Linked DNA regions of Caenorhabditis elegans. The protein of the gene in region 2 interacts with the protein of the main gene of each other region in a pairwise test. Each region holds a gene or a part of one and is shown on either strand. Other genes may lie near its edges.

Evidence for each region. Proteins that work in one complex are often made in the same cells at the same time.
Region 1: the proteins of pab-1 (region 2) and skp-1 interact in a two-hybrid assay, tested with the Caenorhabditis elegans proteins (one study listed by BioGRID).

The regions. Positions count from the first base shown.
Region 1 is NC_003283.11:11,643,856-11,652,194, reverse strand, and holds skp-1 (mammalian SKIP (Ski interacting protein) homolog), read right to left. Parts: upstream 6,715-8,339; 5' UTR 6,698-6,714; coding exon 6,678-6,697; intron 6,633-6,677; coding exon 6,476-6,632; intron 6,431-6,475; coding exon 5,345-6,430; intron 5,296-5,344; coding exon 5,199-5,295; intron 4,417-5,198; coding exon 4,289-4,416; intron 2,341-4,288; coding exon 2,221-2,340; 3' UTR 2,105-2,220; downstream 1-2,104. Other genes in the region: Transcription factor zip-10, read left to right, coding at 1,444-1,632, 1,684-1,992; Chromosomal passenger complex protein bir-1, read right to left, coding at 6,921-7,265, 7,310-7,432.
Region 2 is NC_003279.8:10,430,450-10,438,386, forward strand, and holds pab-1 (Polyadenylate-binding protein), read right to left. Parts: upstream 4,790-7,937; 5' UTR 4,783-4,789; coding exon 4,527-4,782; intron 4,476-4,526; coding exon 4,282-4,475; intron 4,230-4,281; coding exon 3,639-4,229; intron 3,593-3,638; coding exon 3,308-3,592; intron 3,260-3,307; coding exon 2,846-3,259; intron 2,796-2,845; coding exon 2,595-2,795; 3' UTR 2,412-2,594; downstream 1-2,411. Other genes in the region: Y106G6H.1 (Saposin B-type domain-containing protein), read left to right, coding at 1-144, 329-626, 1,251-1,622, 1,674-1,834; rpl-30 (Large ribosomal subunit protein eL30), read left to right, coding at 5,815-5,838, 6,019-6,167, 6,221-6,395; madf-10 (MADF domain-containing protein), read right to left, coding at 6,463-6,872, 6,917-7,112, 7,161-7,259; pdpr-1 (DAO domain-containing protein), read right to left, coding at 7,839-7,937.

The sequences.
Region 1 (8,339 bases), on a different chromosome or scaffold from region 2:
GTTCGTAAAGGTAATAGTATTAGGACAGAAATTCAAAAATGGTGTGCTCATTCAGGTACGCTTGCTCACTCTGCATTAACGTACTATGGTGCATCTCCTTAAAAATATAAACTAGAAATAAATTAAATATACATCGTGGTGAGCAGTTAAGAATTTTCGGGTACTTGATTAAACCTGATGTACAGTGTTTTTCTTAAGAGTATTCATCTAAAACTGTACTCTTTGAAAAATATATTGCGTTAGCTAATAATAGGACAAATACGGTAATTCGATAAACTTTTAAAAAAACCTTTTCTGAAACATGAAAAATGTATTGTATAAATTTCAATGTGTTAACACATGGAACAGCAAAAGTGGGCAATTGCCACGTTTTGAGATTATTAACAATTTTACCAAAATAAGCTCATCGCTTTTACTTTTCCATGAAGTCAATTCAGTTTGTATAATTGCTAGAAATAAATACCGTATTCTTTGTATGTATTATTACTCTTACTACTTTATTTACAATTTATTTACTTGTTAGATTTCTCATATTTTATATGTGTTTGGCTTAACCGAATATTAGAGGATAAAATATAGATAAAGATGTATTTCAATATGTTATAATTTACTTGAAAACAATGGAGATATAAAATGCAAGTATGGAACGATGTCAGTTTAATACATAATTACAGAGAGACTACTGTATGTCTTCTGATTTGAACTAAAATTTAGTATTTATTTAAAAAAACTGAAAACTTATTCCGCTCTATTGATGGCTTCCACTCAAACAAAAAATGCCTACTTGCGTACCTATGAGGTAGGTAATATTTGCAACCATATGTAGGTCGTCTCCAAGAAAGATATTGCTCGGATATACAGCTGGACATAACTATGGAGACATAACTACGCTCTTGTATGTACATACCACTAAAAAAATTCAAATTTTGCTCACTATGAGATCGAGTTTTTGTGCGCACAACTCGGGTGCTCATAATTGTCGGCCAACTACGTAGTTGGATGCGTATAGATATTATATTGAACATAGTCTAACATAAGTTCCTATTATTTTCAAGAGTCCATTTTGTTCCACTCAACCCATCAATTCTGACACCATACTCCACAACCACACCCCAATCGGAAGTCTCCGAGACGGCATATGGGTTACATTTTCAGCGAAAAATTTCAACTGAACACGTCATCATCATTGTCGACCTTGCTCTTTCAGCTGATAACAGTCGTGTATTTCAAACACGTACACAAAAGTCACAAATTTTTTTCGAAAAAAAGCGGAATGCATCGAAATGAAGTGCGGGGGAGGGGCGGGAATATGGGCGGTGCTTGTGTTTCCAATTACAAACATGGAAGAAATGATAAGGAACGAAAAAGTGGGTGTCCCCCTGATGCAAATGTATAAAAGAGTTATCATCATTCAAATTTCAGTCCACATTTCATTCCTGAAAAATGACAACAATGACTAATTCTCTTATTTCTAATTCAGTTTCCTCTGTTCCTGAATCTCTATTCTCATCAGCTTCAATTCATCGTCCAGTTGCTATTAATCCAGCAATGCTTGCTCAATTCAGCATCAATCTGCCTGTTTTGCCATTTGAAAGTTCTGCTTCTTTGGGAACATCTACCACATCCAGCTCGGTAAGCATATCATATTTTCTCAAAATCTTGTAATATTATTTGTATTTTCAGAGATGCTCTTCAACTGAAAGTTCTGCTGCTCCTGGTAAAATCCGTCGTGGTCGACCACAACAAGAAATTGCAGATGGACAAGATGCTCACAGTCAAAAGAAGCGTCATCGCCGTCTTTATGCTCGCCAGTACCGTGCTCAAATGCGCCAAAAGGTGGAGAATGTGAAAAGTCTTCATGATGAGAAGGAGCAACTCGAGTTGGAAGTAAAAGCTCTCCGGCAAGCAGTTAGTGGTCTTCAACAAGAAAATGCTCAAAAAGATTTCTTGATCAGTATTTTGCAACTCAATAATCAAATCAACCATTCCTAAGAACATCTTCAATATTCCCCTCTCCCGAATCCTCTTTGCCATAATTTTTCAAATTCGCTCATTCTTTGCTGACATAATTTGGTCTTCTTTCGAAATGTTATTAATAAAAATTGACACGGTTTTGATTCATCTTTGTGCAAACATCCAACTACAGAAGAGTTACAGAGATTCTTTCCAAAAAAGAAGTTGAGAAAAAATAACAGAAAACAAATAAAAAATATATTAAAATTAGTCGCGTCGAGACCTCTTTGATTCTCCACGGGAGTCTCCACCATCCCCACCTCGTTTCTTTTCTTTGGTGTGCTCGAAAAGTGATGACAATCCGAAAACATCTTGATCCTTCTCGAACTGAAATAAAAAGGTTAACATTTTGTAGTGATTCATAAATGCACAGTGACATTTAATGTTTTATGACTCATTGATAAGTAAATTTTAGAAGTAGTCACAGTCATTTTAAGAGCATCTTTTATGCAATTTCCTTATGAAATCTTTAGAAATTAGGTTTCAAAAAAATAATTCAGTAAATACATATATTTCTGAATACTACGGGTCCACACACTCAATTTCGCAGATGGAATTTTCTAAATTTCAATAACGTTCGATTCACAGTTAAACTCAATGCGTATAAACTATTTCGTTGGAATCAAATGCACTTTGACCAGATTATAGCATTTTCTACGCGTTCTGCAACAATTCGATCGTCACACGCAAACATGCCAAATCGGCCGCCATCGTGTCTGTCCTGTAATTCTAGACGATTCCGCATCGTCATCATTTTCTTGATAAGTTTATAATAAACTTTGTAAGAAATTTCGAAACTATGCCATGCACAATCACGATTCGGAAATATTGTCATGAAATATACTAGAATTATCATTGTCATTCTTAAAATGGCATGAAAATCGTATTTTCTGTCATCATCATCATCTAATGTTTTGCCCTTTGAACGCTGCTTGAACCAATTTATAAATCGACACGGATGATCGTTGGCTTATCCGCTTACTGCTTATCACTCAGTTTAGATGTTAGTCTACAATTAACACCATTTCGCCGAAAAAGTTTACCCAGCTCCCCGAGTTCGCTGCAAACAATTCCGGAAAAAAAATACGTTTCCTGTTCAAATCTAAACTATGAACATGGTTTAAACATTTGAAAAATTGGTGTTTTCAATATAGTAAATGCCAAATTTTTCAAAAATTTCAATTTTTTGATAAATTTCGATTATTTCTACAGGTTCGATCCCTAGAATTTCCAAATACGAATAAATACTATAAAAACTGGGAGGACAACTGTTTATTTCGTCCACTTTCATAATAAGCGAAAACTAAAACTAAGATTTTTTTGTTAAAAAATGCAATACGTATTTTTAACTACAATGCCACTTTGAGAGTGAAATTTTGATTTGAGCTGTTTCATTTACACGTATATTCGGAGCAAAAAGTTATCATTTCCTAAAAATAGACCGAAATATAGTCAACACCGCTCTAGTTCTGTCTAGTATTTCAGTCATTTCAACTTTTAGAGTAAATCACATGTTGGTTCTAATGCTTCTGGCTTGTTGGTGATAAGACGTGATATTTCGTAAGTACTGATAGTGATTGGGTTATGAAAGATGCTCGCAAACACCAGCCTCCGTAGACACAACTCGATAAAATGCTGATCGTTCAGCTCGAAATGTGACTAGAAACAGTAAAGTAATTTAATACATTTTATGTGTTAAACTGAAGAGAATCTGCATCCCGAACTTAAGTAAAAAGAAAAGCTAATCGGCTATGATAGAAAAGATATAATTAGTTTTTGTTCAATAAGCTCTGAGCATTGTATAAAACTACAATATTGATGAATCCATAATTATTTATTATAACTCTAATTAGAATATCTAAAATTGGTTAACTTTTACAATCAAATTAATCGTGAGTTAAAATACATCAATAGTTCATTTCGACCATAAAGAGAATGGATGAAAACTGAACTTTGACATATTTTAATTATTTTAATCTTATTTTATCAATAATGTCAAACATATTACGCACGACAATTGAAGCTCATAAACCAAGAATGTAAAGAATCTTTTCTACTTCCAAAACACACTGCTGTGCGTGTCTTTTCGGAATGACGTAAATTAATGATCCATTTATGATAATGACCGCACAAATCAACGAATTGGTTCAATTCGTCGTTACTTATCAGTCAATTTTTGACGCTCATCAACAACGAGCCAGCGCCCAAATTCTCAAAATTCCCAGCTATTTTAGTAACGTAGTTAAAATTTCTGACAACAGATCAACTGACTAACCTGAACAGGTCCAGATCCACGACTCGAGCCCTCTGCTCCTGAAAATCCTTTATCAGCTACAAACCGATTCTTCTGTTCGATGATCTTGTCCAAATCGCCACCATAAACATCGTTGTCGAGATTTTTGCCTGCAAAAGTTTTATAAATCGTCATTTCTTCCTGTTTTGACAAAAATACAATTATTTTCGAAATTCGTATTTGCATAACGTCATTTTAATCGTAATGACTGCAGTACTACAAACGTCTTATCAAATACTAGGCACCTAAGTTGTGATTCTATTTTTAACGACAAATGAACCAGAACGGACATGAAAGTCAAATACATCAGTATCATCAAAGAGTTTTGTGAATTCCAACACCAATGAATTAGAAAAACAATAAATTTTAGAATGTCACAAATTCCTCAGTTCAGACATACATTAGGAAATCATTTCAATTTTGAAATATTAAAGAACTAACGGTTCTAGTTATTTTTGAACGTTTAGATTTTTATGGCGGTTCGAAATTTAGAAAAAATGAATCAATTTTGGCGAATTTTTCGTGTCGCAGAGGTTCAAAAATGATTTTTTTTGAATTATAATCTTTTTTTAAATTTTAATATCACGTAATATCGTCAATTGAGGTACTTTTTAAGCAAACATAGGTAATCAATTTCGGTAACCTTTCGATTTTAAATGTACCTTAGAATAGCATAAGATAAACTGCCAAAATAAGATTTCAGCTAAAATAATGTTTTTTTTTGAAATTTTAAAACGCCATAAAACTTTTTTTTTGAAAAACTTCTGGAACGTTTCATTATGAAATTCGTTCATTTTAGAGCATTGTGGGTATATATATATATATACATTCAAAATACCTAGACCCGTTACTAATTTTAATTTATATTTGAAAATAAGCAAGAAAAACTAACTCGGTCGATAAACGTGCTGTTGAACACTGTCACCGCCACGCCACGCAGCATCATAAGGATTGTAAGTATCATCGTCCATTGCTCCACTGTCGAGTCCCTGAAAAATAAATATATTAGTTAAATTTTATCGAAGAAGGAACTGAAACCTGGGTTTTATCAAACAATCTTTGATCGAACTGTGGTTCGCCAGTTCGTTTCTGATTCGTGTCCGGCAAACCAAGCACAATTTTCTCCGAAATATCTCTTTCACGCTCTTTGCGAAGCTTGTCAGCTTTATCTGGTCGTGAACGAGCAATATTTCTTTCTTTCCTGATATCGTCGAGACGATCACGTCGAATTTCTTCGCGAACTTTGACTTGTTCATCATCTTCATCGTCCTTTCTCCGCATCGCTGATCTTTCCTGGCGGGCTTTTGCTGCGGCTTCTGCCATTTTAGCCTCTTGCTCAGACTTCTTATTTTGAGCAACGCGTCTTTCAAGCTGAGCACGTGTCTCAACCTCTTCACGAGCTTTTCTATCAGCAATGTACAAAGCATCAGCAAGCTTCGCAAAGTTTTCATTAATATGAGTCTGTTGGAGACCACGTCCATCAGCAGCCAATCGTTTGTCCAACCCAACTGTGAATCCTTTTGGATTTTTCCAATTTGAAATACATGGTGGAATCTTCCAATCGTTTTGATCTTTAGCTGTCATTTTTCTTGGAGGAGAATGCATGACTGGTGCCGGTGGAGATGGTGGTGCTCTAGGAATCTTCTGATTGATTTTGAACTTTGGTGGTTCCATCGGATCTTTTTGTTCTTCAACCATTCTGATGATGCGCTGTTGTGATCCAGCAGCTCCATTCTGCTGACTTGGAGTGTATCTGATATATTGAGCAGGTGCTAACTTGTCGGCATGACGAACAGGAAGTGCTGAGGCTACTTTTGAATTTACGATTTTTTCCAAAGCCATTCTTGTCTTCTCCGTAGCATCGATAACAGCGTCATCGTCTGGTTTCTGAATATCATCATCATCCTCGTTCCACGTCTTGGCTTTCATATCATTAAGCTTGGAGTAGACAACTTTATCCTTAACATGTCCGATACGAGCAATAGCATCGTGTTGTAACTTTCCATCAGTTCCATATTGCAAGGCGAGCGTATTTTCTGGCTTTCCTCTCATATCTCCAAGACCTAATCCGAGAGGAAACTGAGCAACGTGAATTTCAGGGAACGCTCCGCCATCGCCAAAATCCTGGAAAAGAAAAATTAAGAAGAATATTAATATTTTCAATCTCACTTCAGGCCCTCTTGGTCGAAAACTGGTCCGTTTTCCGTACGGCGGTGGTTCCTTCGATACGAGTGCGGCGGATGGTTCGTTATCGCGCCCACCAAACCAAGGATCTCGTCGAATCTGTGAAGCTGCTTCGTCTGCCGCCACAGGAGCAGGAAGGATACTAAAAAACATTGGTTTTACATGATAATCAGTGAAATACACTCACTCTCGTAGTTTCATCGACATCCTGATGAAATACTGTCCTGAAATTGTTTTTTTAGACAAAAAAAGAATCAAATACAAAACTGGAAGATATTGTAGTGCCGATGAAACACAAGTTATAATTTCAAAACAAAAACATTGAATGAATAATAAAATAATGAATTAAGTGTTTATTGAACAGTGATTAAATCGAGTATATGAGATCAAATCAATAATTGGATAAGTTGCAGTAAGTGATGTAGAAAAATTATTTGCCGCGGCGGCTGTTAGATTTTGTTGTCGATGCTGTGTTCGGTACTTTTTTCAGCTGATCGAAGAGAGCATCAGAAGAAGAATGATTAGACAAATTATTTATCATCATCTCATGCTCAAAGAGTTTAGTCATAATCATGGCGGTTTGTGAGAGACGAACGGTATCGTTAATAGTTAATTCCGAGTCATCGAGCTTTCCAATCCGTACAAACTCGCACGGTTCATCACGTTTCGTGTGCTCGTACCACGGATCGTCTTCTGGGTCAAAATCAAGTTCCTTGTTGCAAAATGCACATTTGCCAGACTGAGGACCGGTGCAGTAAAATCCGGCTTGAGCAACCTAAAACAAGAATAATTTTATTTAAAACACGAAAATGGACAAACCGCTTGAGACGTGCATTTTGCATCCGGGTCTCTATCATATTCGAAATTTTTGAATGTCATCAAGCGATCTTTGTAGAATGTGAATTTTGCCATATCCGACTTTTTTTTGGTCCCGGGTGCCATTTTCTGAAATCAATGAAAAACAACTAGGTATCTTAATCTTGAGGAATCTATTTCGAACAGGTAGAGATTAAAAATTCGAAATACAGTTAAGAAGATTTGAACTAAAAACCACAATTCCAAAAAAATAAGTTGAAAGCGTTGAAATCGATTGATAAAAGGAAAAGATAAAACGAGACTTACATTGAAAATAATAAAACTTCGTGGCGTATTTTAATAGATTTCGAAAATGAAGTTTAATTTCATGAAATTCGCGCATCCACGCCACGTGGTTTTATTTTTTCAGTGTGTATTTAAATATAAATGAAAAACAAATCTCAGAAAACATTTATCGAATAAAATGTTGAAAAATCAATAAATGTAGCTCGCGTCGCACTGACGAATTTCGCGCTGAAATATACAGCCACCAAGAAAGCTAGGCCACGGCCATTGGTCAGTAGAGCGCACGTGCGCGCGTACCAAAACCTCCAAGAAGACAGGAAACTCAATGAGTTTGTTGAAAACTAAACAAATTAACAATAACTTTGATTCAATGGAAAAAGATTCTATTAACTTTTTAACCGGACGGTGTCGATCGAGCCTGCGGCTCAACCTCTCTCAACTGGCTAAAACTGAAATTTACCGTATTTCCTCTATTAAATAGTTAGGCACCTCTATTAGTTTTGCACCTCCATTAGTTTTGCATCTAAAATCACTAATCGAAAATTAGTTTTGCACGCTCTATTAGTTTTGCACCTCTAATAGTTTTGCACCCCTCCATTTGTTCCCTATTTTTAGGAATTTAAAATTTGCATTATAAAATCGTTCTAAAAATTAGGAAAACTCTTACAGACTTGGTATAACAAGTCAAAATTGGCAAAATATGAGTACAATTCGGACAATTTTTGCGTATCAGTCGTAAAATTCGTCC
Region 2 (7,937 bases):
TCTGGAGCATCGGATGCACCATCATCAACACCACCACCTCCACCGAAAATTTCTGACAAGAAGAAAAGATTCAGTCCAAGTAAAGTATATGTGACAAAGACAAAGGATATGGATCCTTTCTCCTGGTATATGAAGACTCTTCATGTAAGCTGAAATTATGACTTAGGAGGCTTAGGCTTAGGCTTTTTCCTATGTTTCGACTTAGGCTTAGACTTACGTGTTGGCATGGAGAATTGCATCGTGCCTACGAACGCGTGTCTCACGCCTACCTGCCCTGTCTCTTCTCCGATACTCCTTCACAGGCTGTATATATATGTCTATTTTTCAGTACTACATGAAACGTGAATCAGAAGTTTGTAATAATCAAATCACCGATCTTAACTCCATCACCGAAGATCAACTTTTCGGATACTTCTCCACACTTGCTACTGCTCATCCAGGACCATTCTGTTCACTTTGTCATAGATTTGCCGAAGAAATTCATTCAAAAGTATTGAAACCAAATAGCCTTCTGATTACTGATGATGAATACCATATTTCACATCTTCTCTACAATCATTTTCCAAAGCCAAAAGCAATTTGTACAGCTATTGCGCCGGGATGTGATGACGATTATGCAGCGAGGGGTAAGAGAAATCCGATAGAAATTGAAACTATTTTTCGATTTTTTATTCAGTTTTTGAAATTATTTTTCTAGAAAAAAATTATTGAAAAAAAAAATTATAAACTTCACGAAGAAGATCCTTCATGAAAAATTCAGCAGATGTTCTAAAATTTTAACTTTTTTCTAATTAAAACGTTTAAAACTAGATTTCAGATTTTTTTTAAACCCAAAGTTCGAAAAATCTCCCAAAAAATATTAAAATCATATATTTGGAAATTAAAGTTTAAAACAAAAATGTGTTTTGCATCAATCACATTTTTCCAGTGTTATGCTTTCGAAACATCACTTTAAAAATACATTATTACACAGTTGTTGTGAAGTTTACCGATGTTCCATTCAAAAATTTGGTCTCACCACGAAGACTTCACATTTTTCAGAATTTTGTACGATTTAGCACGTTTTCAGAGAATTTCCTGATTTAACAAGAGAAAAAACGTTTAAAAAAATCGAAATAATTTTCGAATTGAGTTACTGTAGAATAAAGGCGCACACCTACAGTCTTGATTCGAGAATATTTTGTTCGTGGCGAGAGTTTTTAAGCAGAACCACAAAAAATTTCGCAACGTGGAATAATTTTCAATTTCAGTTCTAAACCTGACCGAATCAGTAGTCTGCCTGGAATGTACCGCCTGTATGTCCATCACAAATGTGCTTCAACATAAGATCTTCCTTCAACCAGCCATGCTTGATCAGACTTACTATTGGCTCCGCGGAAACCTTTTCCACAATTTGTGTGCTGAACTTTGTCTCGCATTCCAGGGATTAGATATTCCACTTTTCCCGCATGGATTTACTTATGACGGATGCCAGAATGTGATGAAAAAGAAGTTTTATCAGCTTATCGACGTTGCAACAGTTATCACTAGACCCGAAAGATTTTGCAGTTTGGAGCTTCAATGGTGTGAGCTCAATGAGCAGCCAAATGCACTTCATTGTCTACGAGAACTTTGTCAAGAGTGTGAGTTTTTCTCAACTAAAGATAAAAATATAAACGAAACCATTATTACAGATTTCAAAGATACTCCACAAACTCGTTGGCTTTGTAGTCAAATTCCAGATAGACCGGAGCAAGCAGATGCATTTTTAAATATTCGACAAACGAAAGTGAAAAAAGAAAAGAAAGACTATCATATGGAATTCGAGAAAAGAAACCTTCACGATGAACTTTAGACGTTTTCTTATAATTGCATAATTTAATTTTTATAAACTTTTTACTTTGCTGATTCTTCTTTTATATTTTGTGTCTTTAAACAAAACGCTGACTTTCCTTTCTCCAATATTAATAGTCTCTAGAGTCACGAACAGTAGTCGAATTCCTGTGTTCAAGTAGTAAATGTTTACTCTCACCGGATACCAAAACTTAACTCATTTTACTAAATGTTCACGATGAAACGAAGTGTAGCATTTTGTTTAATATTAATTCCTATAACAATTTCAACGCAATGTTTCGTTTGCGATTCATTTCAAGGTTATTGTGATTTCGATGGTTCAACATGTGTTGGTCCGAAATGTTCGAGACGAACAGCGCCCATGACTAGTGAGTTAATTATTATACAATTGCAGTCAGCTTCGAATTTCAGATGGTTTGATACGTGAACAACGAATTTGCGTTCCATCCGATTCTCCTATTGGGTGTAGAAAAGCTGTTTTGTGGGATGAGATGGAAGGTGTCGAATGCGTTTGCGAAGGGCATCTGTGTAACATTGCTTCTTTTTTTTCTATAACTTGCCCATTAACATTGATTATTTTTATGATTTTATTTTAACGTGAATAAACATCACAAAAGTGAGCTTACTCAAGGGGTGGGGTGTGGGGCGGCTAAACCAACCACTAACAAGTAACAAAAAGAAGGGTGACAGTAAGAAAAAAAAACAGGAGATGGGTATGCTTAGCAACTGGGGGAACGTGCTAAGAGCACTTGGCAATGAACTTATTGCTTCTGAGCGGAAACGAGAACCGATGCAGCTTCGTCGACCTTCGAGCGGAACAATTCACTATCTTGAAGCATCATGATCAACTCGGAATTGTCGATTTCGAGCATCATTCCTGTGATTTTTCCTGCGTCCTTGTGTCCCGGGTAGAGTTTCTCAATGAGAGCGTAGATACGCTCACCAAGAAGTTGCTTTTGCTCCTGAAAAGATGTATCATGAAATTAAGTATTGCAAAACAAAGTAAGCTTACCTGAGGAGCAGCAGCGGCCAACATTGCAGATGTGAGTGGCTCTTGTCCTCCAATAACGATTCCTTGTGGTCTTTGCTGGTATGCCTGATATGGCTGTGGTGGAGCCTTTGGTCCGGTTGGAGCTGGTCTTTGCTGCTGTTGTTGCTGTGGTGGACGTGGAACGTTTTGCTGTTGGACTCCAGGATTTTGGGTGCGTGGTGGTCCCTGCATGCGGACGCCTCCTTGAGCGACTTGATTGTACTGCTGTGGTGGACCGCGTGGTCCTCCTTGTTGGTTCTGTGGACGTCCCATGCGGTTTTGGTAGACACCTGGGCCTTGAGCCATCATGTACTGATTTTGGACTGGGTACTGATTTTGCATTCCCCAGCGACCTCCTGGGCGAACCATCTGTTGTCCACCGGCGAAGTTGCGCTGCTGAAATAATAAATTCGAGCATTACAAAAAAAACAACAAAAAACTAACCTGTTGCATCGGATTAGCAACATAGTATCCTGGTCCTGGCTGTGTTGGGTTGTACATGGCTGCTCCTGGAACGTTGCCGTGCATTCTCATGCTTGCAAGACGTTGCATGTATTGAGAAGCAAGCTGTGCACGACGATCTTCTTTACGTTGAGCAATAGCCACATACAATGGCTTTGAGCACACCATTTTTGAGTTCATCTCAGTCACTGCACTTGTAGCTTCCTCCGGCTTTTCGAAGCAGACAAAACCGAATCCCTTTGATCTCCCATTTTCGTCAGTCATGACCTAAAAATATTATGTATATGATAGCATTTTGAAAAAGTTTACCAACCTTAGCACTCGTGATGTTTCCGTAAGACTCGAATTGCTTCTTCAAGCCATCATCATCGACAGTCTCGTCGAGGTTTTTGACGTAGAGATTGACTCCTTGATACTTCTGCATACGCTCAGCCTTGTGTTGCTCGTGCTTCTTTTTCAATTCAGCGTGTCTCTCAGACTTCTTTTGGGCACGGCAGACATGAAGTTTCAAGTCAGTTCCCTCGATGGTTGAATCGTGAAGAGCTTGCACAGCAGTCTCGGCCTCTTCTGGATTAGCAAAAGCAACAAATCCGAATCCCTTGGACTTTCCCTCGACAGTCATGACTTCGCAGCTGGTAATGTTTCCGAACTTGGCGAAGAGCTTCTCAAGGGTTTCCTTGTTGTAGTGATCTCCAAAGTTCTTCACGTAGACATTGGTGAACTGTTTGGCAGTCTCTCCAAGCTCGCGATTGCGTTGAGCACGTGGCTGGAATTTGCCAACGAAAACCTTCTTCCCGGCCAGAAGCATGCCATTGACTTTTTGGATAGCATTTTGGGCAGCTTCCTCGGTCTCGAAGTGAACGAAACCGTAGCCTTTGCTGAATCCGTCCTCGTCGATAGCAACCTGTACAACATAAATTGAAGGCGGTTTGGCAATGCTCTAAAGAAAACGTTACCTTGCAGGAGAGAATGTTTCCGAACAGGGAGAAGGTATCGTAGATTGACTTGTTGTCGATGACCTTATCGAGGTTCTTGATGAAGATATTGCCAGCTCCCGAACGACGCATAGCTGGATCTCTTTGAGACCACATGATTCTCATTGGTTTGCCGTGAAGAGCCTCGAAGTTCATGGTGTCCATGGCACGTTCAGCTGAAAATTGAATTGAATTAAAGATTGAAGTGAATTTGGAGACAAACAAACCATCAGCTGGTTGTTGGAAGTTGACGTAGGCATAGCCCAATGAGAGACGAGTGGCATTGTCTCTGCAGACACGAATAGAAAGAACAGGGCCGGCAGCGCTGAACTTCTCGAACAGGATCGACTCGTTGACGTCCGGGTGGAGGTCTCCGACGTAGAGCGAAGCCATGGTGTACGACGAGCCGGTCTGATTTTGGCCTGGTTGAGGAGCAGCAGCGCCAGCAACGGCGGCAGCGGGAGCAGCGACGTTCATTTCCATGATTTTACTGAATTGAAGATTGAATAAATAGAATAGAAGTAATATTTTAGTGACCGTCACGTATTTCCGTACTTTTTTATTATGGGTGAGGAGTTGGGTCACGGAACAACGTCTAGCGAGGAAGTCAGGCGACGTCTAGCCAGACCGCGGGTTAATGTAGTGTCTGCCTACCTACAACTAAAGAGCAAATGACGATAGTACGCTAAGAATAGCAGAAAGGGCGGAGTTAGCCTAATTGTCTAATAAACGCTCACATCTCGGGACCTGGGAAGTATCGATCGGGAAACACGCAGCAATTATTCGTATCGGTAAAAAATTACTTGTTATTCAACAAAAAGAGACAGAAAACTATATGTCCTTCCCAAATAATCATAGAAAACAATTTAGCACGGAAACAAGTAACGGTTCGAATTACGAAATAGGAAAAATCAATAAAACTCACGTTTTGGTGTCGGATCGTCCAAAGAATAATTTTTTTGGTGATTTTTAGGGTTTTTTAAATTTTTATGGGTTTTTGAGCAGTTTAAATTGGGATTTACTGTCCTTTTGCTCAGAGCCAGGAGAACTCGGATCCCAAAAACCGGAAAAAGACACACTAGTGTTTCAAGGGAGGAGGGAATGTGCCGATGGGTCTCGCCACGAAATGCATCGCGAACCGTAGTTATCGCTGCTTTGCCCCTATTTCTGGCCCAAAATCTGATACTTTTCGCTGTTTCGTTTCTTTTTTGCAGAAAATTATGTTTTTGAAACCAAATTTTAGTTTATTCGACTTATTTCTGTTTTTTAGTTGCAAACTTTCAACAGATAAACGCCTTTTTATATAATTCTTCAAGCTGTAAACTATTATAAATTGAATTTCTTACCACTTATTTTTTGAGACGTTGAAATTTTCTGAAGTAGTACGGATGATCGCTTTCGTAAAGACGTTTTGAAGTTATTTGTTTTTTAATGTGCCGTCCTTCTTTTGCTCTATTTACGTGGCTCAAATTAGAAGTTCACGCAGTTATTTTTTCTATTTTCAGGTAAATCATCATGGCTCCAGCTGCTAAGCCACAGGTTAGTGAAGTTTCTCTGGAGTTAAATTTTCGAGCAGCGATGGAGTAATCCGGAGCTCGGGTGATTTAATTGAGAAGGAGTAGCTTCCCCGCTCATTCTGTCACGGGCTTCGGGTGCTCAATGTAAGCGCTCGCGAATTCTCCAATATTCGAACGCCTGATGATCCATATATTCGTTTAGGTCAAGAAAAATGCTGAGAACATCAACTCCCGACTCTCCATGGTCATGAAGACTGGACAATACGTCCTCGGATACAAGCAGACTCTCAAATCCCTTCTCAACGGAAAGGCTAAGCTTGTCATCATTGCCAACAACACTCCACCACTCAGGTAAATCAATATTTATCATTTCGGATTTTTATTAACTCATGATTAATTTTCAGAAAGTCCGAGATTGAGTACTACGCCATGCTCGCCAAAACTGGAGTTCACCACTACAACGGAAACAACATTGAGCTCGGAACCGCCTGTGGACGTCTCTTCCGTGTGTGCACCCTTGCAGTCACTGATGCCGGAGACTCCGACATCATCCTCAGCGTTCCATCTGAGAGCGCATAAGCTGTTTGTTATTGTTACAATAAATTGTTGAAAACAGTTTAGAATCAGTATTTTTAACACAAATTGTTTATTGCAAATCAGGTGCGGCTTTAGTAACACTTTCCAGTTGCGCTTCGTAAACGATGTCACGGATGGACTTTTGGATCTTCAGCCAGTGTATGCGATCCTTGTATCCTATTTCTTTCAATGGGAGGTACAACGATCGACAGAATTCCATGTACTCGTCAGATGGCATTTCTTCTAGTTTCTCTTTCTTAGAAGAGGGACCTTGGTATAAATCGTACGGCTGTCCCTGGAATTGCATCGGACGTTTTTTCATCACAAAATCGTTTTGATTCACACTGTCCAGGAACATGAGCGAATCAAAAAACTTCCATTTCGGTCGTATAGGGCATCCATCATGATCAAATGTTAACTTCCGTCGAGTTTTCACGTATGTGTCTTTCAGATTTTTCCAATGCTTTTCGATTTCTTCGACTGGAAAAAAACCAATTATAACTGAAGTAGAAATGATAACTTACTTGTGAGCGGAGGGCTCAACACGAACTGTTGATTAATCACCTCAACAACTTCAGCAAAGAGATTTTTCCGTGCTGCCGAGCTCACTTTTTCTCGTGTTGAATCCCAAAGACCCGGTCTGTGTGCAATTGCTTCACACATTGCAAATCTAACACTATCTGTTACTTGACGCATCATGTACTGAACCTCTTCTTTTTGCTGAATTTGTTGTGAATTTCAGTGTTATTTAGTTGCACACCTACATACCTGAGGAACAACATGTGTCATGTGAGAATGTGGTGTAGGACCGGTAGAAGTAGACTGACTTTGATGGCCCTGATGATTTTGGTGACTCCATTGGTCCATTGCTCGATAAACTAAGAATATTTTCAAAAAACTGACGATGTTGATGATCGAAAGAGACAGCTATCTAAACTAGTTTTAGTTCATAGTTTTTGTATAAACTTTGTGAGATTATATTTTTAAACTATTAATTTAGACAAATCTCTCCTATTTGGATATTCGTAATTATTGAAGCTTTCTAATTATTTTTAATATCTATCACTTCAATTGAAAAGTCGAAGCATTTTGAAAAGTTCAGCTCGAAGTCTTTAAAAGTCTTTAAAACAAGTCTTTAAAAAATGGTCGCGTCGTCGCAGGACGTCGAAAATTGATCGGTGCGACGCGTGCGGTGCGGCGTTGCGTGCTGTTGCAGGGATTGTGAGAAGCATAGAGGGTGCAGAATGTCTATTTATTATGAAGTATGTGAGGGGGAGCAGACACTGGGTGGATGAAGTCACAATTACAATTATCGTACAACCAATATGGCATCGAGATTGAGAAACAAAAAAGAAAAAAAGTACAAAGTAGGAAATTGAATTCTAAATTCAACATCTGGATTCAGCTAAGTTGTCTAAATATGTTCACTAAGATGGCAAGAAGCAATCATTGAGTCGGTCTGTAGTGAAGTGGATGCTCGCTGGATATCATTGGAAGTGAAGGTGAATGAACGTTGAGACGGCATGTGAACCTTTTTCCAGCTAT